Linked DNA regions of Caenorhabditis elegans. The protein of the gene in region 3 purifies or fractionates together with the protein of the main gene of each other region. This does not show direct contact. Each region holds a gene or a part of one and is shown on either strand. Other genes may lie near its edges.

Region 1 (7,182 bases), 3.7 Mb from region 3:
TAACCCATTGGGAAAGTATTTATTACGGTAACACGAAGTTCTGAGAATACGTATTGCGCAACATATTTGACGAGCAAAATATAACTATATCTCGTAGCGAAAACTACAGTAATCATTTAAATGACTACTGTACGTGTTGATGTAGGGGTACGAATTTTGAAATAATTTACTTATCGATAAAGCAAAAAATGTCACTATTCGAAAATAAATTCATTTCAAACAATCGAGCCCGTAAATCGGCACAAGCGCTACAGTAGTCATTTTAAGGATTACTGTAGTTTTCGCTACGAGATACAGTTATATTTTGCGCGTCAAATATGTTGCACAATACGCATTCTCAGAATTTTGTGATACCGTAATATTTGAATTTTTGTAATTTTTAATCGATTCGATGAAAAAGCCTAATTTTGGTTGATTTTGAAGATTAAAACACGAATAAATCGATTTTTAACGGCAAATTTAATAAAATAGTGCATTTTCAAACAAAAAAACCCAAATTTTCACTACAAATTAGGAAATTTAATGAAAAACGATAGTTTTTTTTCACAATTTCAAAATTTAAAAAATATTTTTTTAATTCAATTTTAACGTCAAAGTACTGAAATTAAAGATTTTTCAGCGGAAAAAGCACATTTTCCAACAAAAAAATTAGATGCTGTGTGAAAAAACGAATTTCGCGTTTTTTTCACGATTTGAAAATTTAAAAAACGAAATAACCGATACTTTAACGCTAAAAACGAAAAAAATTGTTTTTTCCAAAAAGTTACAGTTTCCGTGTAAATTGGTAAAAATTTACGGTTTGTTCACATAAATTTGTAGATAAGTTTTTTCAAAAACTTTGATTTTGATATTTTTCTTCCAGTTTTCAAAATTAAAATCGAAAAATGGCCGTTTTTAACGAAAAATCTGCAATTTTGACAAAAAGCGGTCAGTGTGAAATTTTTTTTCAATTTGAGAAAAATAGGAAGAATTCGATTTTCAAAGGCATGGGAGCATACTAAAAGCATATTTTTTAATTTTAACAAAGTAAAAAAGATTTATCGCAGTTTTAAGGATTTAAATTCGATTTTTAAAAATGATAAACTATATAGACAAGCCGAAAATTTCATCTCAAAATTTTTTTAAAAATTAAACGAAAAACGGGCAAACACAGGCCTCCCAGAACGTCTCACAAGCATACGGAGTGAAGCGTCACGATGAGAGAACGAGGCCACTGTAGAGACGCAGAGATACAGCGACAATCGATGCGCACACATTGGGTAAGAGACGCAGACGGCGTGCGTTGAACCTGTGCACTGGTCAGTCAGTCAGTATGGCAATGAGAAGGTCCAGGAGGAGGGAGGCTATGCGCTTGCATAATGAAATGTCTATATCTCTCTTTGTTTGCATTGTGTTGTCTTGCTGCTCCGCAAACAATCTGTGAACATACGGTCTGGAGGGGGATACAGAGCATTGCGTGAGCCCATCTTCTATCATAAATTACTTCCAGGTGGTCCGGATTAATGAGGTGATTTCTTAGAATTTATTTGCGTCACTGTGATTTTTTCTGATTATCGAGAAATAAATGAAAATTTTCTTTTTTTTTAATTTTTCGGATAAAATAAAAAAATTAATTTAAGAAATTTTAATAATTTTTAATGATATTTAACTGAAAAAAAGTACATTTTTCGGAACAAAAATGAATTTTAAGTCTTAATTTTCATTTATTTTTTGAAAAAATGGCCCGTTTTCGGTGTCAAAACTACTGTACCTGGTCTCGAAGCGAAGATTTTTTATGCCAAATATTGTGCGCCTTTAAAGAGTACTGTAATTTCCAAATTTCATTTCTGCAGAATTTTCCTTAATTTGCCATAGTTTTTATGATAAAAAGTAAAAAAAAAAGTTTAAAATGTCAGAAATTCTATCAGAACTGGAGAGAAAATATGAAAATTGTTTTTTTTTTTCAAATTTTTTTACAGTTTTTCTCCAGTTATGTTGAAATTTATAATATTTTACAGTTTTCTTGTATTTTTTAATTTTTTATTTGAGTTTATCTTTTTTTTTTAATCGATAATTTATCGAAAAACTACAAAAAATCAATAAAAATTCCGCAACAACGAAAGTTTAAAACTACAGTACTCTTTAAAGGCGCACATCCTTCTGCAACTAAAAAAATTGTCGCTTCGATACCAGCTACCGTATTTTTAGCGAAAAAATCGCATTTTTCACGATTATTCTTCGATTTTGTCTGAAAAATTGGTAAAAACTGAAAAGTTAGGCTCCTGGACTTTTTTATTTAGAATTTTTCTGAAAAAAAAAAGTTTTTGCCGAATTTTATGCCAAATATTGTAAAATTTTAAAACGTTTTAAATTACTACCTAATAAAACTGAAAAAATAAAAAAAAAAGAGAACTCTACGAAAGGAAAATCAAAGAAAAAACTAATTTTTTGGGTTTTTAGAATATTTGATTTTTTTAAAACAATTTCAGTGTAAAAGTAAGAAATAGACATTGAAATTTACAAAAAAACGGCATTTTTTTTCGAAAAAAAAAAGTGATTTTGCACTTTATAAGATGAAGATAGTAACAAAAACAGACAACAATAAAATGAAAAAACTGCAAAAAATCAATTAAATAATTCCCCAAATCTCCTCAAGTCCACTGGTCACTTTGGCACAAGTCAACGCTGCACTCAATGGATAATTGCTGATCTTGGTCTCAGAATCGTTGTAATCGACGACGATCTTTCCACGAGCAATTCCACCGATAATAAGGACCAGAGGCTCGTCGGTTTCCGGTGCAACAAGCTTATTAGCCATTGTTAGCTCAGGTACATTGAACGACATGAGCATCTTACGGGATCCCACTGGAAGATGGTTCGACACTGGATTCTTCACTACTGACATCAGCTTTTGAGTGGTTTCGGCGGCTCGAATGGAGAGTTTGTGCAGGAGTTGGACTGAAAATATGGAAAATAGAAAATAGGGGGATTTTGCATAAAAATACCTAATTGCAAGAAAAGTCACAAAAAATCCAATAAAAAGTATTTTAAAGCATGTTTTTGAAAATTGGATTTTTGTGCTCTTTTTTGTGAATTTTTTTTTGATTTTCAGACTATTTTGGGGTATTTTGAATCCGGGTATTTTTAAAAGGAAAAGGGTATTTTTAAAAATTTATGTTTAAATTTGATAAAAAATAATTTTTAAAAAACTCGAAAAATTGTCTTTTTTCTTATTTTACATACAAAAACACTTCAAAATATATTTTTTTCAATTTCCAATAAACCAAAAACTCACCCATAAGTCCACAGAATCGATCAAAAGTTCTTGGAATTCTGCACTGTGGTGAGACATCAACGAGCACATTCTTGCTCGTTCTAAAGAAGACACGAAGCTTTCCGGCTCTGTTAAGCGGACTATCAAGTAGATTCAACAAGCATTGATGTAGGATATCTGGCCGATAATCAGCCGGATCTTTTTTCTGTTTTCTCAGAAAATTCGCGTGTTTATCACTGCTCAAAATTGCGTATTCTCCACCGACTTTTGCAGTTTCAAGACTACATCCTTCCAGTACAACGTACAAAATCTTCTTGTCCTCCAATTGATTATCCGTCTTCATGCGCTTCGCATTTGGCGGTGCAACTGTATCGTACTCGTGGGACATCTGAAATTCGGAGAAATTAATTTTTTTTGTCATAAAGTAATTTTTTTAGGACCAAAAATCGAATTTTCAATAATTCTGATGAAAAAAAAATTATTTTCTGAATAATATTGTGATTTTTTATAGTTTAGCACAAATTTTAAATAAAAGCTGTGGGAACAACGATAGGTCGTTCTGTAAAATTTTCGAAAAAATGCCGCTTTTTTGGAAATAAAATTGAGTTTTTCGACTTTTGGAAAAATTTCTAATTTTCCATATCTATCAATATAGGAATATACATAATTTTTGATAAATTAAAAGTTTTCACTTCTTTTTTCGTTTTTCGATATTTTTTCGTCAAAAACACTGAAAAATTTCTGCGGAGAAAATGTAAGTCGAAAATCAAAAAACTCAAAAACTCAAAAACGAAAAAATTTGTAAATTTGAACGGTTTTTCAAAAATTTCAGTGAGTTCCTTTTTTTGTCGAATTTCCCCTAAAACATGAAAATTTAACTAAATATTTTATTTCGGGATTTTTGAATTAACGAAAAATGGTTTTATTTTATTTTTTCGATTTTTGAAGCTCCTGTAAAGATTTTTATAAAACAAGTTCAAAAAATAATATGATGGTTTTTAAACCGAAAATAATTCTCACAGAAAAAAAAACTCAACAAAAATATAAATATCGAGATCAATCTTCATTGCAAATAGTACAAAAAATATCAAAATTACTTCAAAATAGTCATAAAAAAGTCGGAAACAACTCGCGGGAGCTGCAACTTCGAGATCGAGTCCTCCACAATTTTATCATTGATATGAAGCCAAACTTTTCTGAAAAAAAAGAGGATTTGAGGTGAATTTTTCAGCTGAAAAAAAAACCCACCGAAACGAGGTATTTGTCACATTTGTGCTCTCGTCTGCCTTCAAAATTCCCATTTTAACGAGATGATCCAATTCTCGGAATACGTAGACATCACTGCTCACGTTCAGTGGAGGATAGTGTTGATTAACGAGTTTTTTGAATTCTGAAATTACGGAGAAAATAGATTTTTAAAAAATAAGCTTAAAATTTTCATGTTTTTTCTCATCAATATAATCGAAAATTAGATTTAAAAAAAATCATATTTTATGGTTAATTTTCTGAACATTTTCTTAATTTTTCGGAAATTCAAAAAATCGAAAAATTTTTCGTTTTTCAATTTTTAAAAATTCGAAAAATCGAAAATTCCGAGATAAATTTTAAAAAATACCTAGAAAAACGTTTCGATACGAAGTTTTTGGCGCCAAAAGTGGTCCATCTGACTCTTTATTCTGCACAAGTCTCCAGACACAAAGAAAAACGCATTGTGCTCGAACTGTTTGATCTGAAAATTTGAAAAATTTTTAGAATTTCACTGGAATTATTAAATTTTTGAGCCGAAAAAACAGTATATAATTAGTTTTTTCTAGATTTTACCGGATTTTTTTAATTTTTCAGAAAAATTTCAAAAGCTGTAAAGATTAAAATAGGTTTTGATTGAAAATCACGATTTTTGCATGATTTTTTACATTTTAAAGTTGTTTAAAATTTGAAATTTGTTCCGAAAAAAAAAGGTAAAAAATTACTTTATCAGCTCAATTTCCAGATTTGAAATCAGAATTTTTAATTCTTTGCGGAATTTCAAAAAGTGAACTTGAATTGTTCATTTTTTGTTTTCAAAATTAGAAAATCGTGGGTTTTTTCTGCCTTTTTCAAAGTTTTAGCAGAATTTCTACCTTTTAAAATCAACAATTTTCCATTATACGAGGGAGAAGTCGTCTCGACAATTTTACGAATCTGTTTGCTGATTTCCTCGGGTTTCCACGTGTCTTCTACGTCACAATAGTAACCGAAAAGCATCAGGAATTGCGCGGCCAATTGTTTCAGAACGACGTAGTGACTTGTCTGAGAATATGGACTTTAATGGGGGTTGAAAAGCCGAAAAATATGATTTTATTTGTTTTATTTTCATTTTTGGAATGAAAATGTTATCCAATTTAATTATCGTAAGATTGTACGGATATCTCATGCTAAATTGGCTATAAAATCATGAAATACCCTCGCATTTTATGAGAATTAAATTGGATAACATTTTCTTTCTAAAAAGAAAATAAAAAAAAACAACTACAATTTTTGATGAAAAAAATCAAAAAAAAAGGTGGAAAATTTGAGTTTTTTCAGCTTTTTCGTGAAATTTTCAGCTTTTAAGAATGCTTCTTCACCAAATCTCACCTCAAAAACCGGCCTAAGCCATGTCTGAAAGTTCAAATTCTTCACAAATCTCTTATAGCACTCGGATTCTTCGCATTTTGAGCCGCCAGGAATCAAAAACTGCGTCAACGCTGCACAATACTCCTCATAATCGTGTGTCGCGTCAAATGACACCTGAATTTTCGGAATTCTCGACGTCGCCTGTTTCTGAAGGTTCTGAGCGAAATCGTGTCGGGAAACGGAGAAAAAGACGAGCCACGAGAAGTGTGTCGCCTTGTCAACCATCGTGTAGAGGAACTTTTGCTGCTGTGGAGTGATTAATTTGTCGGCGTCTCGCACTAAAAACACAAAATATCCTTCGTCATCCTCCTTTGCGAGTTCCTGCTGATAATTTGGATCGGCGGCAACGAAGCCTGCGTTGATTACTCGTAATTCCTTGTGATATTTGTTGAGAACCTTCCGAAGTGTGCTTTCTCGGCCGCAATTTCGTTCTCCTGCAATGAAAATCGATAAAAAATTGTTGAAAATTCAATATTTAAATGGAGAAAACTGCGAAATTTTGTATAATTTTGAGTACATTAGATGACGTTTCAATAAGGAAAATGAGCAAATTAACAACTTTATTTTTAAAAAATCAACAAAAAACCGTGCCGCACTGTCATAATGGGCTCAAAAGACCGAAAATTAAGAGATTTCTCGCAAAAATCTAAAATTTTAGGCAAATTTTAAGCCGGAAAATGAGCCGAAATATGCATTAAACTATATTAAATTATTAAAAACTATGTTCGAGCTGAAGCCAAAAGATAAATTAGGAGAAATACCAGATTTACCAAGATTCCGCTTTTTTTCGAACTTTTTCGGTCGTTAGAGCAGATTTTGAGGCGACAATAAATTTACCTTCAAGAAGAGCACATTTTCCATCTTTCGACTGCAGAAAATCATAGACAATATTCTCGATTTGCCTGAAAATAGATAAAATATTTGGGAAAATCACAAATTTTCAATAGCAAGTCCAGTGGGGCGCGCTTGCATCAGGCACTCACCTCTCTTGTTCCGTTAGTCCGAAGACCTGATCGTCGAGCAAATCAAGAGCTCGCCGAGCATTTTCCGCTACAATTTCTTGATCGGAAGGTGATAGCATTCTGGGAAATGTTTAACAAATTATTTTGATAAAAATTTAGAAGAAAAAGTATAAAAAACAGGTGGAAAACTGCTTGGTGATTGAAATGACTCCGGTAAAGTCACAGCAAACTCAAAGTCCATATTTTATTTTAATTGGAATTTTAATGCAAAATAAGTCAAAAAAGAATCTAAATAGAACGTCCTTGGAGGAT
Region 2 (8,004 bases), on a different chromosome or scaffold from region 3:
TGAACTGAATACAGGTTTTCGAAGAAATAAATTTTATCAATCAAAACAACATTTCGGCTTGGACCAGCGTTTCTTCTCAAAGGTTCGCCATGCTTCTGTGGTTTTTTCATGAGTCGTCAGTTCTATTGAGGACTTCATTTCGCTTTTCAAAACAATTATTTCTTCATTCATTTTGTCCTTCACAGGATCACACCGTTTTGATACCAATTCATGGAACAAAGAATCGTTTTTATGGCCGTGGTGTTTAGTGCTCATAATATCCACAAATCTTTCATATTGTGAATCTAGATATTCCAATGCTTCCTCGTCACATTTTATTCCTAAAGCAATTTCTTTAACACATTCTTTTCCACGGACGTATGCATTACGGCGATCTTCCGGATCTCTCTGAAAATGTTTGTTTCTTAATTTTATTGATTTTTTTTTTCAATTCTACGCAAATAAAACGTCAAAATTGTTTTCGATTGACCTCGAAATTGAGTGACGTCATTTTTGCGTTTTCCGGCATTACAAAAATTTTGAAAATGACATCATTAATTTGGGAGGTAATTCAAAAATAATTCCACCTTTTTAAATATTTTTATAGTTACTTTCAGTCATTACGGCCTATTTTCTATTATGCAAAACAAAAAAATCACGAATGAAAAACAATGACTGTTTTACCCTTAAAAAATCCAAGTGATAGATACAGTAGTTGCTTCTGCGGTAAAACACTTTGTACATTTTCGAAACACAATCCATCATTTCATAGTACGTGAATTCAATTCTCTCACATTGCCTTTCGTAAGTTTCTTTGTTTTTTTGAGCCTCGGTGCAATTGAATTGACCAAAACATGTCTGAAATGTAACATAAAACATAAATGAATACAAATATACAAAGAACCTACCGGTATCTTGTTGCAAGTTGTATTGATATTTTTTGCGATCTCTGATGTAACTTGAATGTTTGAATATTCATTCGTTAAATTCATCAAATTGTTCACATAAGGGGTGCACTTCGCATTTATCTCAGCTTTCTCACTTTGTGTGCAAACGTTTAAAGACGAATTCAATTTTGTGGACTTGGATTCGATATAGTTGAAACATGTGAACAATGGAATCACCCAGCAAATAGACAACCTCATGTCTAAATAATGAACCAAAACTGTTACATGGAAATATATTATACTCTCTGTAGTTTAATCTGAATGATCCACACTAATCCATATTTCATAGAAGTTCTTTCTGAACAATACATAACACATTTTTCCGGTGTCAAACGGCAAACGGGGCAAAGCGTGTAGGAAGGGGGAATCTATTTTTCTATTTTTTCGTCTGTCAATCTATTTTTCGTAAGTCAATCTATTTTTCGTCTGTCAATCTATTTTTCGTCTGTCATTCTATTTTTTTTTGTATGTCAATCTATTTTTCGTCTGTCAATCTATTTTCGTCTGTCAATCTATTTTTCGTCTGTCAATCTATTTTTCGTCTGTCAATCTATTTTTCGTCTGTCAATCTATTTTTCGTCTGCCAATCTATTTTTCGTCTGTCAATCTATTTTTTCGTCTGTCAATCTATTTTTCTTCTGTCAATCTATTTTTCGTCTGTCAATCTATTTTTCGTCTGTCAATCTATTTTTCGTCTGTCAATCTATTTTTCGTCTGCCAATCTATTTTCTTCGTCTGCCAATCTATTTTTCGTCGGTCAATCTATTTTTCGTCTGTCAATCTATTTTTCGTCTGCCAATCTATTTTTCGTCTGTCAATCTATTTTTTCGTCTGTCAATCTATTTTTTCGTCTGCCAATCTATTTTTCGTCTGTCAATCTATTTTTTCGTCTGCCAATCTATTTTTCGTCTGTGAATCTATTTTTTCGTCTGTTAATCTATTTTTTCGTCTGTCAATCTATTTTTTCGTCTGCCAATCTATTTCTCGTCTGCCAATCTATTTTTCGTCTGTCAATCTATTTTTCGTCTGTCAATCTATTTTTCGTCTGTCAATCTATTTTTTCGTCTTTTTTTTTTGTTTTTATTTTAATCTATTTGTTTAATTGCAAAAGGACAGCCGGCGAGCACGTGTCTCTTGTAAATTTCCTAAATTTCAAAAAATTCAAGTGTTTTATTTAAAATTTTGAGTAATGCGGAATTTGAATTGCCTTGAAGCATACTTATTTGGGATAAAAATAAAAAATAAGGTTATATATTTGGGTTGCAACATTTTTTTCAAAATATCCTGAGTAGTTAAAGAAAACAGTAAGTTCTATAAAATTTATATATGAAATCTTAATTCTCGAAATAGGTTTTTTTGAAATAACGTTAGAAAATGCAGTCCAAGTCTACAACAAGTTTTTTAGAAAACACGACACATTTTTAATCAGTCTAAATCTACCAGTGTACTAGACTTTCAAAAAATAAATAAATACAAAGATACGGTATTCAAAAATGTAGAATGTTTATTTTGCAAAATTATTTAAATTAAATTGCCTTCCGTTGAATTGGTGTTCTTTTGATAATTGTCCCAATTGATATCGAAATTCGTCAAAATTCCATCTCCACACATGCCAGTCATGACGTATTGTATGCATTCCTTGTTTTTTAGGAGTTCTGTATTATTCTGTGGATCATGAAATTTTTCATCAATGAAACACGGAAAAGTTTTCGCGTCTTCCCGGGTTCTTACTTCATTTAAGCAGAGATTGAATACGTCTTCATACATCACATTGCAAAGTTCGACGGTTTCGTTGGTGCGGTCTTCAGAAAAGTAAGAGCTTTTCATGCAGGTCTGAAACGTATTTATGTGAAATATTTTAGAAATGGATTTATCTTTACGCATACAAGTCGGGCAAATTTCAAATTTTAATTTTAGGTCATTTTTTGAGTCCCCATCTTTTAAAAAAAGTTTTCAGAAGGTTCCATTATGAAATTCGGAGTTTTCAAACAATTTCGACAACATTACAAGCAATAGTATGCCAGATAAGTTGTTTTATGAATTTATTTCTAAAACTCCCATTTTTGAATTATACTTATTTTAAACTGACGCAAAAATCAGCGAAAAATTGAAAATGCATGTTGCCAAACTTTAACTGGGCTCCCATGAGGTCGGCGCCTTCGCCTGCCTCAGCGGTCGCCGCGCCGGTTTCACCGCATCTACCACGCCACATGTATAGTGCGGCGAGGAACCGCGAACGTGTCGGCCGCTTCCAAATAACCACCTTTCGCACTTCGCTGCACACACACAGCGGCGCGCGACGTAGGCGTGAAGCCGGCTCGTGGCTCGCATTTTGCACTTCACTCAGCGGGAAGCCCTAAGCTAAACTATATTTTATCAATCAAAGCAACATTTCTAAAGGCATTATTGTCCCAACTATTTTGTTCTAACATTAAATCTAACCTTCAACTCATCACAGACTGACGTCGGCTTGGACCAGCGTTTCTTCTCAAAGGTTCGCCATGCTTCTGTGGTTTTTTCATGAGTCGTCAGTTCTATTGAGGACTTCATTTCGCTTTTCAAAACAATTATTTCTTCATTCATTTTGTCCTTCACAGGATCACACCGTTTTGATACCAACTCATGGAACAAAGAATGGCCGTGGTGTTTAGTACTCATAATATCCACAAATCTTTCGTAATATGAATCTAGATATTCCAATGCTTTTTTGTCGCATTTTGTTCTTAAAGCAATTCCTTTAACACATTCTTCTCCACTGACATATGATTTACGACGACTGTCCGGATCTTTCTGAAAATGTTTGTTTCTTAGTTTTACGGACTTTTTTTTTTCAAATTTTGCTAAAATAAAAATAAATTAAAGACTGAATCCTTTTGGAATGACCGCACAGTGATGTTGGAAGGTATTTCAAAAGTAATCCCGCCTTATAAAATGTTTTTTTAAAGTTGGAATAATTATTTTTAAAATATAATATTATTTTCAAAATTGGTTACCTATGTTATATTATGCAAAACAAAATACCTACTGATCACGTGGTGTCAGGTTGGCCCATAGCTTTACTGCACACAAAAGGCGGGAAAACATTTTTTTTAAATTTGTTTTTTCACATTAATCATCGATTCTCGTGGATTTTTTTGTAATTTTTCGATGAGGGCATGTAATACACAAGTACCGTTAATTAAATTTTACTTGTCTTACCGTCAAAAAATTTATGCCAAAGCTACAGAAGTAGTCTCCGCGGTAATACAATGCGTATATTTTCGAAACACAATCCATCATTTCATAATATGTGAATTCAATTTTTTCGCATTTTCTCTCGTAAGTTTCTTTGTTTTTTTGAGCTTCCGTGCAATTGAATTGACCAAAACATGTCTGGAATGTAACATAAAACATAAATGAATACAAATATACAAAGAACCTACCGGTATCTTGTTGCAAGTTGTATTGATATTTTTTGCGATCTCTGATGTAACTTGAATGTTTGAATATTCATTCGTTAAATTCATCAAATTGTTCACATAAGGGGTGCACTTCGCATTTATCTCAGCTTTCTCACTTTGTGTGCAAACGTTTAAAGACGAATTCAATTTTGTGGACTTGGATTCGATATAGTTGAAACATGTGAACAATGGAATCACCCAGCAAATAGACAACCTCATGTCTAAATAATGAACCAAAACTGTTACATGGAAATATATTATACTCTCTGTAGTTTAATCTGAATGATCCACACTAATCCATACTTCATCGAAAAGAGAGTGATCTGCCTATGTTCTTTCTGACCAAATAGTTACTTCACACATTTTTCCGTTGTCGGAATAACCACTTCTATGACGCCAAAATGATCAAATATCACAGTAAATTTTTTTCAAAAAACGTGAAGTTTTTTAGATGAACTTCAAGCGATTGAGATGGTCTCAAGAAGATACAAAACAAAAATATAATTCTCGTTAGACAGGTTTATGCAATATATGAGTTGAGAAAAAAATTACGTATGTACTTGTTTGCAAATGCTGTAAACTAGAAAAAGATCACAAAAAATCATGGTTTACGGAAAATTAATCGATGGAGTTTATCTGTAATAGTTATTGAATTTTTGTCAGAAAAATACGACAAATATTTATTACTCAAACTATAGTGATGCAGGCAACTATGAAGAGAATAGTTGATTTAAAAAAAGATGCAATAATCTTTAATATATAATATTTATTCTTCACCAGCACTTTTTTCATTAGAATTAGTTATGCCGCTTGTGGAATTATTGTTCTTCCGGTAGTTGTTCCATTTTCTATCAAAGTCCGTCAAAATTTCATCTCCACAATCCAACTTCAATAGAAGTACTTGAAATTGGGTTTTCTGTTCTATTAGTCATCATTAACTATTTTTTTTTGTTGTTAAATGCCCGTTTGAGGGGTGTATATTAGATCATAGTAAGTGTACCTAAACTAAACTCCCTTTTATTATGTTCCACATTTGATTAAGTAATCTTTATTCGATGTTACTCTAAATGTAATTAATTCATTATTTTACAGTTTTTATTTATGTATATCACGAATGTTAAGTGAATTTAATACATTTAAAGCATTTTGAATTCTTCCACTACCAATAAATTTGTGTTCTCCTCAAACTGGAGTTTCTCAAAGTGAATTTATCACGGAGACTTGTGCATTGTTCTTACAACACATTGATATTTTATCTGAAATAAAATTAATTTACCAGTAAACCGCCAAATTTACTAAACGTTTCAAACTAACTTTTAATAATATTTCTATACTCGGAAACAACTAGTGCGACTGAAATACAATCACACGGCGGATAAAATCCAACAAGCGAATACAGGTTCCCAGACTGCCAATCCACTTCAATTCCAACGATTGGTGCCAAAAATGGAGCTATCAAGATTGGCACGGCAGGTGTTATCAGAAACATTGTTGGTACTAACGCCTGTATGACAAGTGCAATGAAGTATTGCCGTTGTAAATTTTGGTTCTGGACAGAGAACTTTTCCAATTCCTTCTTCATGTTGAAATGCATTTTTAGACTGCAGAATATGATGATGGAGAAATGAAAATTGATGAGAGATGATGCGATCAAAAGGAATATTATACTAGTATGTATAACAGAGCCATCAGAATTATAAGGTGTTAATGAGAACCTAGCGAGTTCAGATACATTTAATCCATAATTCTCTGCTACAGAGTCTCTGGAAAATGCACTACTTGAAATTTGCCGAACGTTCAAGATGGTACTATTTACCTGACATATTCATCTGTATAATCATTAGGTGCACATAAATACTTTATAGTGCTAGCATAGCAAATTCCTGGTAGTAAAGGATACAACATCCATAAGCCGCCTTTGAATCCTTCAAAAAACCTGGTTTTTGAACTGTCAAATAAGCATAAATATCTGTATATGAACAGGACGGATATAAATGAGAAAGTTGTTAGATAAAAGCACGACCACACCGTTATGAAGGCATTGCTGATATTAATTGGTAATTGAAAATTGGTAGCGCTGAAGTACAATAGCGTACCATTGTAGTTGTGGGTGAATGGTTTTGAAATAGCTTCAAAGCCCGAAAACATGAGTCCCAGGGCAGCGAAGACAACGATCATTCGTTTATATGGTACTGATATGTTTTTAATATATTTAATTGTGATGAAGATGAAGAGGGAGTTCGCGATGCATCCAGAAAAGAATCCAAACGCTGTGAAAAAGCCAAATAACTTGAACATGAACATTACGAGCAGTTGTGATGTTCAAAAGAAGATATTAGGCGGGAGTATCTTACAGAAGAGGCATGTTTACGTCACGCGGATTTGAACATAATCAACATAGGGAAATTAGAGCACAGACTTCTAAACTATCATAACATAATCTATTGGAAAGAAATGTCTACCAACTTGATATATTTGCCCAATGCGATTTCGGTATAAAAATTGAAAGGAAATCAGAACAATTGGTGAACCGAGACCCGTGTTGTTTGGTATAGTCGACAAACCGAAATTATAACGCGTGCGTCTGAAACTAATACGACTAACCATGTTTTATGTTTTCTAGGTTGTCAGTAACTATATATAATTCCTGAACGACCCACAAAAAATAGGGTGTATTTTTTGAATGACGTCATAGACTCTGCTATACGCCTCTTACACAGTGAGAGCTCGTAATATAGATTTTAAAACTTTTGTAATAGTGGATTAAGATTTAAACTTTCAAGAAAAAGTTATCTAAAAGTGTATTTATTCAATTGAATTAGTTATACAATTTATTATTCTCGAAACATCAAATTCAGCTCAAAAAAGCACTGGCTGAGTAACTATTGCTGTTGAAACCACCGAAACCACCGAAACGCCGCACAATTTCTCTGAAACATTTGAATATCATGATATACATTATACTTCCGAAACTAACGTTTAACGATTGTTTTATATTCTGAAACAATTAACATAAATGCAATACTGTCAAATGGAGCATTAAAGCCAACAAGGGCAAATAAGTTGCCCGTCTGCCAGTCGACATCAATTTTGAGAATAGGCGAGAGCAACGGTGCGAAGAAAATTGGGATGGTCGGAATGATCAGAAAAATAGTTGGACCGATTATTTGTACGATGAGCGCTTTGAAAAATTGACGGTGAAGCGTCTGGTTTTTGACGGAAAACTTTGCCAGTTCTATTTTCATGGAGATGTGCATTTTGTAGCAGCACACTATAATGATAAAATAGTGAAAACTTATTGAAGAAATTCCTATGATCAAATATATAACTGTATTCCACCGTAAGGATCCATCGGCAGAAAATGCGATCATAGAGTATCTTGGCAACTTTGACACCTCGAGCCCGTAATTTTTACTTATTGTAGCTCTGAAAAATAAGATGAACTTGCAGATAACATGGTATAAGATTATTTTCAGAGAAGCCACTCACTGTACGTAACTATCGGAATATTCATCGGCTGCACACAGAAAATTCATGGAAATAGTGTAGAATGCCCCTGGCACTAAGGGATAAATTATCCAAAAAACAGTTTTGACGCCATCAAATTTTTTTGTTGCATTGTAGTTAGTCAAACAAAG
Region 3 (9,723 bases):
TCTTAAAGGCGCACATTTGTTTGTATTTTACAAAATTAATCGCGTCGAGACTAGGTATCGTATTTTCGGCGCAAAACTCCCAAAACTTCGCGTCTGTGTAATAATAAATTACCGATAGGCTTGTCGACTCTCATCAGTTGAAGATATGGCTTCAAATTTGGCGGAGAAGAAGCAACAAGGCTACTTGCAGTTGGTATCAGTGACATTGGTTGTTTTGTACTAAAATTATAACAATTAAAATTAAAATTTTCGAATTCTGAACCTAGTGGAAATCCATCTTTTTGTTGATTCATCTAAACTATATGAAGTGCTTGTATTTGATCCAACAATGCAATTAATCGAATTGGATCTTCTAGCGATACCTATTGACCTGGTTATCATTTTTTTTTGACGAATCTGAAAACTTTCTCTCGTCAAAGACATGATAACATGAATTTGAAAAAACAAGCATTAAGTTAGGGACGAAAACCTTTGCTCTTTGAAACTAATACTTTGTATTTAGAAAATCAACAACAATTTCATTTGAATGAGGAAGAGAGTAACATAACCAACAATGATGAATAAAAAACAAAGAAATGAACAATTTTTGGGGAGGGGCGCGGGGAAACGAACAATAATGGAAATAGAAGAAAAGAGCAAAGCCTACGTGCAGAATAGAGTGAAAGCGGGAAATATTTCTCTTCTGCGTCTCTTTCTGTTTGTGTGTGATTTAGAATTCCATACTATCCGTCTTTCGGCCTTCGACCACAACTGAAGTGATAACATGTCCGTCTTCGGTTTCCTTGGATTCGAGCTCACGGCGAATTTCAGGCGAGATGAGATAGTGTCCATGGAACTATAAATTGAAATTGGTTAAAAACAATGGAAACATTGAACTCATGGGACCATAAAACTTCGGAAATTACCTGACTTAAACTTTATAATTATGAAAAAAAAATTTACGTGACCAATGATGTGAACCCATACGCCAGGAAAAAAATTAAAAAAAAGAAGAAAACACGCATAAGATCGATCAGAAGTGAAATTTTAATCATTTCGATAATCGTAGAAATTAATTCTACACTCTTTTCACATAATTGGCGCAATGGAGATCAATGAGCAACCATTCTTTCACGGACTTCTTCCACGAGAAGAAGTAAAGGTAATTTGAGAGTAATATTTATTTAAAAGGAGCACCGACTTTTTCAGCTTTTACTTCAAAAAAATGGCGATTATCTGATGAGAACGTCAGAGCCTCAAGGACAAGCACGTCATTTGATCATTTCGGTGATGCAGAACGAGACAAGTCAAGAAGTTGCTCATTATGTGATTCGTACAAGCGACGGAGCATATTCAATCACTGATAAAATTAAATTTGGAACATTGACTGAGTTAGTAAATCATCACAAACAGGCTAAAATTAGTGAGGTACGAGCGATTCATGCACATTATAGACTAATTATTGTTGTTCAGGAAGTTGCAAGCAGTGTTCTAGTGAATCCTATCGGTAGACAATCATGGGAACTGAATCACGCCGATATTACAATGACAAAAGTTCTTGGTGAAGGTGCTTTCGGAGAAGTAAAGCTTGGGACGCTGAAAATGGGATCGACTACAGTAGATGTCGCTATAAAAGTTGTGAGTTGGACTAGACTTTTATATAAAAAGTAATGACGAAACTTCAGGCAAAACTTGAAAAAGTGACTAAAGAACAAATCAAGGAGATCATCACAGAAGCACGTCTGATGCGCGGATTCGATCACAAGAACGTTGTAAAATGTTACGGCGTGGCTGCAATCGATGAACCATTGCTAGTAGTCATGGAGTTAGTTCCTGGTGGTGCTCTGGATAAATATCTTCAGAAGAATTCATCGGTACAATGGCCTGAGAAACTGGATATAATCGCACAAGTGGCAGCTGGTCTGGCATACATTCACAGCAAAAACATTATACACAGGGACATTGCGGCCAGAAACATACTCTATGGAAAAGGCGTTGTATGTTATAAATAATTTAAAAGTTAATAACTAATAACGTTCAGGCTAAAGTCTCTGACTTCGGTTTATCTCGAGTTGGAACGGAGTATCAGATGGATCCGAGCAAAAGAGTTCCAATCAGATGGCTCTCACCAGAAACGATCGTTTCCTTCCTTTATACTCCACAAACTGATGTGTTTGCTTTCTCGATTCTCTGCTGGGAGGTGATCGAGAATGGAGCTCAGCCGTATCCGGAGATGTTGGTGGTGCAGGTACATCAGAAGGTTGGACGCGATGATTACCGTATGCCGATTAGTCAAAAGGCTCCAGCTATGCTTGCCGATGTTATTGTAAGTTCTATTTCATTCCACTATTTTCATAGCAATGTGGAATTTTCCAGAAAAAGTGCTGGATTCGCGATCCTCAACAGCGCCCCACTATGAGCCAAGTTGTCCAGATGATGTACGAAATCACAGGAAAGAAAGATAAAACCTCGGTCAACAAGTCGACAGGACAGCTCCGTGCAAAAATGATGTCTACTGGACCAATGTCAGATCCGATGAGAGATAAAACTGCTAAAAAGACTGGAAGACGTAACAAGAAGAAACCGTCAAGCGCATCGAACGGTCCAGGTGGCAACTCTGGGCCTAGTTCGGGTCCATTGTCTGGTAAGGATTCGAGACTGAAGAAGCCATGAAAATAACTCTCCTAACTAGATGTTCTCGTGATAATAAAACTCGAAGTTTTAATAGTTTTTAAAAATTAAACTTACTCTGATCAGCTCATAAATAGCTGCCTTCTGCTCGGCATTCAAATCGTTCTTGTATCGCTGGCACAGTGCCAAAAGACACTGATGCCACAAAACTGGCATATCTCGTTCATCGGTTTTCAGACGAATGAAGTGATTAACGACTCCGTCGACTGCACGATACGGTAAAGCATACTTCTTATCAATGAGAGCTCGAAGAAACACGGAATTAGCTCCAGTGTATTCCATTTCGGCAATCTGAAATATCAACAGGTTTTTGATGAGATATTTTAAAACAAAAGTTACCCTAAGCATAGCAGCAGCGGAATGAAAAATTGGAATCGGGACTTTGGTGAGGACAGAGCTGAAGATAACAGCTTCACGAAGTGTACATGTTCCAGACTGAGAAAAAAAGAATATACATGAAAAATATTTAAGTTAAACTCACTTCTAATAATGGAAGAATCAATCCTTTGAAGAAAGCGGCAGGCTTGTAGATAGCTTTGCAGAGGGCTTGATACAGATGATAGTTAAGTTTCTTGAATTCATCAATGTCGTCACGAAGACGTGGGAGAAGAACAAGAGTGTAGAATCTGAATCAAACGGTTTTAGAGCTGATATATCTAAAATCGGCATTTAAATACCTCTGACACATTTTTGGGTTCATGTTCGACGCAAACAATCTTGTGGCTTGATACATAGCAGCAGCCGTCCAAGTTTCAGGCTTTGTGAGGCTGAATATGTTTTATTTTATTCAAATCCGATACTAACAGACAACTAACAAAAGAATTTGCTCCCAGTTAATCATTTTTGGAATGATTTTGAATGCTTTTGGGACTTTTCCACTGCGATATTTTGACATATACTGTCCAATCTGCTCATACATCTCAACTACTTCTGGGTCCATGTCACGCATCTGTAAACATTTTGTTATGCTTCAAGGCTCGATGCTTAAAAATTACATTAAACTCATTCGGATCAACTTGGCTGAGTGCAAGCTCTGCATCATTCTGTTTAGCTTCAATTTTGGCTTGAATAATATCGTAGAGTGTGGACATTTGGATAGCATCTTTTTTGAGGAATCTAGCCAAATCAGCTTCATCTCGAGGATCGAGTTCCTATAAATGGAGTTTAACATTATTATCACGAAGCTAAATAGATTTTACTTACAACAACTTGATCTTCAAATCCATTGTCGTCTTCTTCTTCATTATCATCATCATCATCGTCCGATTTGTCGCCGGATGCATCAGCTCCAAGCCAAGCTCCGCGTTGTCTGTAACAGAAATACTTGCATTGAATTATGATAAATTGTTTATTTACCTTTTTGGAACACTAGATGTGGCTGATTCGGTTTCTTGTCTTTCCAGTGCCTCTTCGAGAAGCTGCTTACGAGCTTCATTCAAGATTTTTGATGAGAGCGAATCAGGAACGAACTGAAACTAATTTTATGAACTCTCTGGTCAATGAAAATAATATTTAATTTTCCCTGAATATTTACTGACCTCGTCTGTCTGCGAGTCTTCCCTTTTTCTCTTCTGCTTTTCGCGAAGCTCATCTCGTTGCTTTGCAACTTTACCAGCTTCCAACTGGTTATCCAGTGGAGCATTGGCTGATAATTTGTCACCCCTTCCTTTCAAATTCCTTTTCACCATGTTACTGGAAATTCATAATTAAAAATTAGCAGAATTACGGTGTTCAATATATTCTGAAAGGATCAGAAGCCTGTTCATAAGATTTAAAATGAATGTAACATACGCAATTTCATTATTTTCCAGAAAAAGAGAACGCCAGACAAAAACATTTTGTCAAACAAAACCAAGGTGGCTCTATAACTTTTAGGGGGCAATACTAAACTCTAAATTGAAAGAGAATTAGAATGTTTGAACCAAGTTGGATGGGATAGGGCCAGTACTAAAAAGGGGTGATTAAAAAGATGAAATCACGCATAAAATAAAAATGTGGGACGGTGGGGGTGGAGGAGAAAACAGATAACATGGATAAATATGAGGAAACAAGAGGAAGGGAAAAGCGTGTGGAACAATCGTGGAGGGGATCGGAATTGGATTAAAATTTAGATGAGGTCAGCGATTGATTCTGGCATCTCTTCGATTTGAGTGGTGTAGTAGCTTTCAATTTCCTTGAGCTGACGAGCATCGTTCTCGGTGACGAAGTTGATGGCAACTCCCTTACGACCGAAACGTCCAGAACGTCCGATACGATGGATGTAGTTCTCACGATTGGATGGGAGATCATAGTTGATAACAAGTGAGACCTAAAATATATACATTCCATAGTATTGAATTATAAACACAAATATTTATACTTACCTGTTGTACGTCAATACCACGAGCCAAGATGTCTGTGGTGATGAGAACACGGGAAGATCCTGAACGGAACTCTCGCATAATTGTATCACGCTCAGCTTGATCCATGTCTCCGTGGAGGCAAGAGACTGTGAACTGATTTTCAGTCATTTTCTCGGTGAGTGTGTCGACCTTCCTGCGAGTGTTACAGAAGATGACGGCTTGAGTAACATTGACAACGTTGTAGAGATCACAGAGGCAGTCAAACTTCCACTCCTGAAAAAATGGTTCATGAAAACAATTTCTTAGACTGGGCGAGTAAACTTACATCCTTTTGAACGTTGATGTAGAACTGTCTGATACCTTCAAGGGTGAGCTCGTCCTTCTTGACAAGAATGCGGATTGGATTGCGCATGAAACGATTAGTGACATCAAGAACTTCAGATGGCATAGTAGCCGAAAGAAGGACTACTTGAACGTCTTGTGGCATGGAACGGAAAACCTCGTAGATCTGATCCTTGAAACCTCTAGAAAGCATTTCGTCGGCCTCGTCGAGAACGAACATCTTAATTCTGGATGTGTCAAGAGCATTTCTATTGATCATGTCTCCAACACGTCCTGGAGTTCCGACAACGACGTGAATTCCGGCTTCGAGTTTTCGTTGATCGTCGCGAACACTGGTTCCACCGATACATGGAAGAATGTTAACGTTGAGGTACTCTCCGAGGGCGCTCATGACCTTTTGGATCTACAAAGAAAGATTTTGAAAAGTTTTCTTTAAAAGTATCTGCTAATAATCTATAACTAAAATACACTGAGTGAGAAAGTTTACCTGTTGAGCCAATTCTCTGGTTGGGGCCATAACGAGAGCTTGCACGTGTGGATCCTCGTGGTCGATTCTCTGAAGAATAGAGACCGAGAAAGTTGCAGTCTTTCCAGTTCCAGATTGGGCTTGAGCGATGACGTCCTTTCCAGTGGTGCATGGAACAATTGCGCGCTTTTGAATAGCAGATGGCTTTTCGAAACCGAATCCGTAGATTCCGCGAAGAAGCTCCTCCTTGAGCTCCATGTCGTCGAAAGATTCGACGACTTGATCATAGTTTCCCTAAAATTGAATGTATTCAAATTATAATAAATTATGTACATTAACTAACCTCGATCAAGCCGTCGGCATCGACCACCGAAGATACGTTCACATCATTTTTAACATCGGTCATGACAGGTGGGTTGAAAAGTTAAAAATTAACTTTTGGAAGTGCGATTGAGTTTCTGAAATTGAAGTAAAATGAAATTTCGAAAGTATTTCAGCATTAAATACAAAGATAAGGGTGTTGAAATAGTTCTTCAATAATAATAATTGCGAAATACAGTATCTCAATCCTAAAATTTTCGAATAAACCCATCCAAAAGAAATGAAAGAAAAGTTTCGACCTAAAAACCTTTGTTTTTTTGAGAAAAAGCATTTGAAATAAATATATTCTTAACACGAAAAGCATAAAAAACGTTTAAAAAAGCTTTAAAATCTAAAAAGAGGCTAAGAAACCGCCCCAAAACCGGGCCAAATCATTCGAACAAGAGTGACGGGTCTCGAAGCGAAGAGAGTGTTCATTAGAGCGCACATTCATACCATCAATTTTTTTTGAAGAAAAATGGCTCTTTTTTATTTGACCAATTCAATTCTTTATAATTTTTATGTACATTTGGTTATACACATTTTTGAATTCATTTTTAAAATAATTTTAATGATATAGATTCAAAATCTATACTTTTTCCGTTTTTTGAATGCAACCTGCGTAAAAAAAAGACGAGTAATCACTAACACTGACGACAGTGACATGCACTTAAAAGTGGTTCGAAATTTAAAAAATTAATTTGGATTTTTGAAGCCAAAGTAAATAATAAGGAAAGTTAGAAGGCTGAGTGTGTATGAGGTCCTCATAAAGAAAGTGAGAAATGTTGGTTGAACGATGAGAGAGCACAGCGAGCAGACTGGTCAATTTAGGCAAATGAGCGCGACGAATGAGAGTAAGAGCCGTAGAGAGCACAGCGTGCGGTGTTCCAGACGCGATGAATAAGAGAGAAACGAGAAGAACACCATCTGCTCTTCAAAAACACCTGTTGACACCGAATTAGGGGCTTGGTTAAATGCCAAAAACTGCATTGTTCGTGGATTAGGAAGAAATTGACCTATGTAGACTGTTTTGTATTGTGAACAAGAATAAATATTAAATACAGAGAAGAAAAGGTATCTGAAATCAAATAAAAAAAAGAGATCAAATTCATTGTCATGTTCACAGGCCATAAAAATCCTGAATTTTGCGGAAGGCTGTTCTCCCTCATTTCCCTCCTCCTCACTCAACCCTCACACATATTGACATAAATCTCGAAAGACGGAATCCGCGCGGACACAACGCGCGTTGGAAACATTACACTCATTTTCACTGCTGCTTCCTCTCTGTTCGTTATTGATTTTTCGCCATTTAAAATATTCAAATTCTCCTTTCTTGTGCACACACCATAAACACATACAATTTTCAGAAATCATGAGCTCATACCCATCCAGTGGTCGCCGGCGACCTATCACCCGATCAGAAGCCGAAGAAAGAGCATTAGACAAAATTTCCAGAGAGGTATCTTAACAATTTGAAAAATTCGAATTAAAAACTAAAAGTTTTAGGCGGAAGCTCGAATGAAATTGAAACGAGAAACACGAGAACAAGCCCGACAAGGAAGATATCAGTTGTTAGAAAAAAAAGTTGAAGAAGATGCGGAAGCTTATCGTCATGATACTGCTGTAAGTCGATTATTAACGAGAATGCACGTTTGACGTTGAAGTTTTACTCTCGAAACTACGTTTTTCATTTTCAGTAACCCTTCGTTTTTAATATTAATAAATTTTCGTTGAAAAAGTTCAAAAAGTATCCTGATTTCCATAAATTATTCTTGATTTCTTTTAAAGAAAAACTACATGTTCGTTATTGATTTTTCACGCAAAATTAAGATGCCCTAAAATAAAGTTTCTTAAATGTTTTTATAATCAAAAAATCTTGCGAAATTAATTATCCTAGAAAATCAAAAATAAATTTCGCTATTTTTCGTCCAAAATACGGTACTCTTTCTCGACACGACAAATTAGTGTTAAATAAAAAAAAGGACCGCTCCTTTAAAGAGTACTGTAATTTCATATTCGAAAAAACAAGGAAAAAAAATCGTTGAAAATACCATAGTAACGAAAGTTTCATATTACAGTACTTTTAAAAGGTGCATACCTTTTTTATTTAACAAAGCATTGTCGTGTCAGGACCTAGTACCGTATTATTTGCGCAAACTTTCGCGACTGGGTAATATAAACACCGAAATTCCTGGAGATCCAAAAAATGTTAGTTCGTAGAGTTCGAGTTCACTACTGCCGTATTAAAAAAAATCTAAGTTTTTAAATTAATGTCTAACTATTCTCGTGTTACTTTATATTTTAACCCCAATTAACATAAATTTTCCTTTTGAGAAACTGTTTGTTGTTAATTGCAGTCAACATCTAACACGAATGGAGTGTCATCCCAATCTAATCAGACACAGGAACAGTTGCATGTGAGTGATCTAAATTGTTTTTAACAATATATAAATTCATAATTCACAGGATAAAGTGATCGAGCTCCAAGATCGTGTTCAACAAGTCATGTTTCTATATTCTCAACTGGATAATGAGAAATCAACGTTACTTTATGAGGTGTTTTATTCGAAAGTATTTATGAAAAAATCTTAATTTCCAGGTTGATCTTCTGAAAGATGAACTTGAAGAGAAGGATGCATCCTTGAATTTATCATCTCGAGAATGTCGTGATCTTACGAGTGAAGTTAAAGCTTTAAAACGGACCATCGACGCGTTACACGCTTCTCAACAGCAGCTGAAACAAGAAATTTCACAGCGAGATCAGCTTATACAGGTGGGCGTATAATTGTTAAAACCAGCAAAAGATAAAATCGATTTTAAAAAAACCTGAGAAGCTAGGAAAGTCCTTTGTTCTGATTTCAAGAGACTCTTTAAAATATACTTAATATTGCAAAGCAAAATTTAAATTGGGGTTTTACTCGTATTGCTCTGTAAGTAATTATTTCAGGAAAATGGTCTATGTCTTGTCGAAGAAGATCCGGATGATGAAGGATCCGAATCAACGAATAACGCTTCTGGAGAAATGTAAGTTTTTTTTTTGCATGAAACTGGTTTTAGTAATTTCTGAAACTAAAATAAAAATTTCGGGCCAAAAAATTAAATTTATAAAAAACCAAAAAAAAAAGACCAAACCGATTAGAAACCATTAAAAACCACATTTTTCTAAAAAAATTTTTTTTGCAATATATGAAAATTTTTCGTCAAAAAAGCATTCAAAAAAAGTCTAGAACTGATTGAAAAAGATAGAGTCACTTTTCCAAATATATTTAGAATACTCTGTAAATTTTCTTTCAAGTTTTCGAGAAAAAAATTGAATGCGTATATTGAAACTGACTGTAAATGCTAACAGTTTCTTTAATATATATGATGTTAGGTTTTTAGTATTATAGAAGTCACTTTGAACAATTTCCCCACTAAAAACCGTTATTTCGCCTTTAAATAATACCTTGTTAGAAGGAAAAAGCCAAATTCTAAAATATGAACAATTTTTCGTAACTGTGATGTGCCACGCGTTGACTTCATGTTTGACTTTTTCAAATATCT

What was found.
Region 1: the proteins of byn-1 (region 3) and emg-1 fractionate together in Caenorhabditis elegans (co-fractionation; one large-scale study listed by BioGRID). This does not show direct contact.
Region 2: the proteins of byn-1 (region 3) and Y73C8C.4 fractionate together in Caenorhabditis elegans (co-fractionation; one large-scale study listed by BioGRID). This does not show direct contact.

Annotation. Positions count from the first base shown.
Region 1 is NC_003281.10:10,645,978-10,653,159, reverse strand, and holds emg-1 (Ribosomal RNA small subunit methyltransferase nep-1), read right to left. Parts: upstream 3,642-7,182; coding exon 3,275-3,641; intron 2,938-3,274; coding exon 2,609-2,937; 3' UTR 2,252-2,608; downstream 1-2,251. Other genes in the region: orc-4 (ORC (Origin Recognition Complex) subunit), read right to left, coding at 4,347-4,449, 4,502-4,643, 4,869-4,982, 5,374-5,542, 5,870-6,342, 6,746-6,810, 6,892-6,989.
Region 2 is NC_003283.11:3,097,565-3,105,568, forward strand, and holds Y73C8C.4 (T20D4.11-like domain-containing protein), read right to left. Parts: upstream 4,586-8,004; coding exon 4,349-4,585; intron 4,299-4,348; coding exon 4,125-4,298; intron 3,717-4,124; coding exon 3,369-3,716; intron 2,760-3,368; coding exon 2,448-2,759; 3' UTR 2,354-2,447; downstream 1-2,353. Other genes in the region: str-66 (Seven TM Receptor), read right to left, coding at 5,564-5,622, 5,681-6,129, 6,183-6,670; str-69 (Seven TM Receptor), read right to left, coding at 7,226-7,296, 7,344-7,792, 7,856-8,004.
Region 3 is NC_003281.10:6,926,640-6,936,362, reverse strand, and holds byn-1 (Cell adhesion protein byn-1), read right to left. Parts: upstream 4,363-9,723; 5' UTR 4,359-4,362; coding exon 4,209-4,358; intron 4,140-4,208; coding exon 4,027-4,139; intron 3,980-4,026; coding exon 3,874-3,979; intron 3,822-3,873; coding exon 3,666-3,821; intron 3,620-3,665; coding exon 3,486-3,619; intron 3,438-3,485; coding exon 3,348-3,437; intron 3,297-3,347; coding exon 3,152-3,296; intron 3,106-3,151; coding exon 3,010-3,105; intron 2,962-3,009; coding exon 2,728-2,961; intron 2,703-2,727; exon of another isoform or gene 2,653-2,702; coding exon of another isoform or gene 2,356-2,652; intron 2,306-2,355; coding exon of another isoform or gene 2,021-2,305; intron 1,977-2,020; coding exon of another isoform or gene 1,665-1,976; intron 1,618-1,664; coding exon of another isoform or gene 1,453-1,617; intron 1,408-1,452; coding exon of another isoform or gene 1,189-1,407; intron 1,142-1,188; coding exon of another isoform or gene 1,085-1,141; exon of another isoform or gene 1,044-1,084; intron 836-1,043; coding exon 710-835; 3' UTR 501-709; downstream 1-500. Other genes in the region: coq-2 (4-hydroxybenzoate polyprenyltransferase, mitochondrial), read right to left, coding at 113-219, 263-381; F57B9.8 (Tyrosine-protein kinase), read left to right, coding at 1,085-1,141, 1,189-1,407, 1,453-1,617, 1,665-1,976, 2,021-2,305, 2,356-2,652; inf-1 (Eukaryotic initiation factor 4A), read right to left, coding at 4,778-4,978, 5,034-5,285, 5,338-5,757, 5,842-6,114, 6,164-6,226; flap-1 (Leucine-rich repeat flightless-interacting protein 2), read left to right, coding at 7,553-7,639, 7,687-7,803, 8,538-8,597, 8,647-8,736, 8,780-8,953, 9,128-9,204.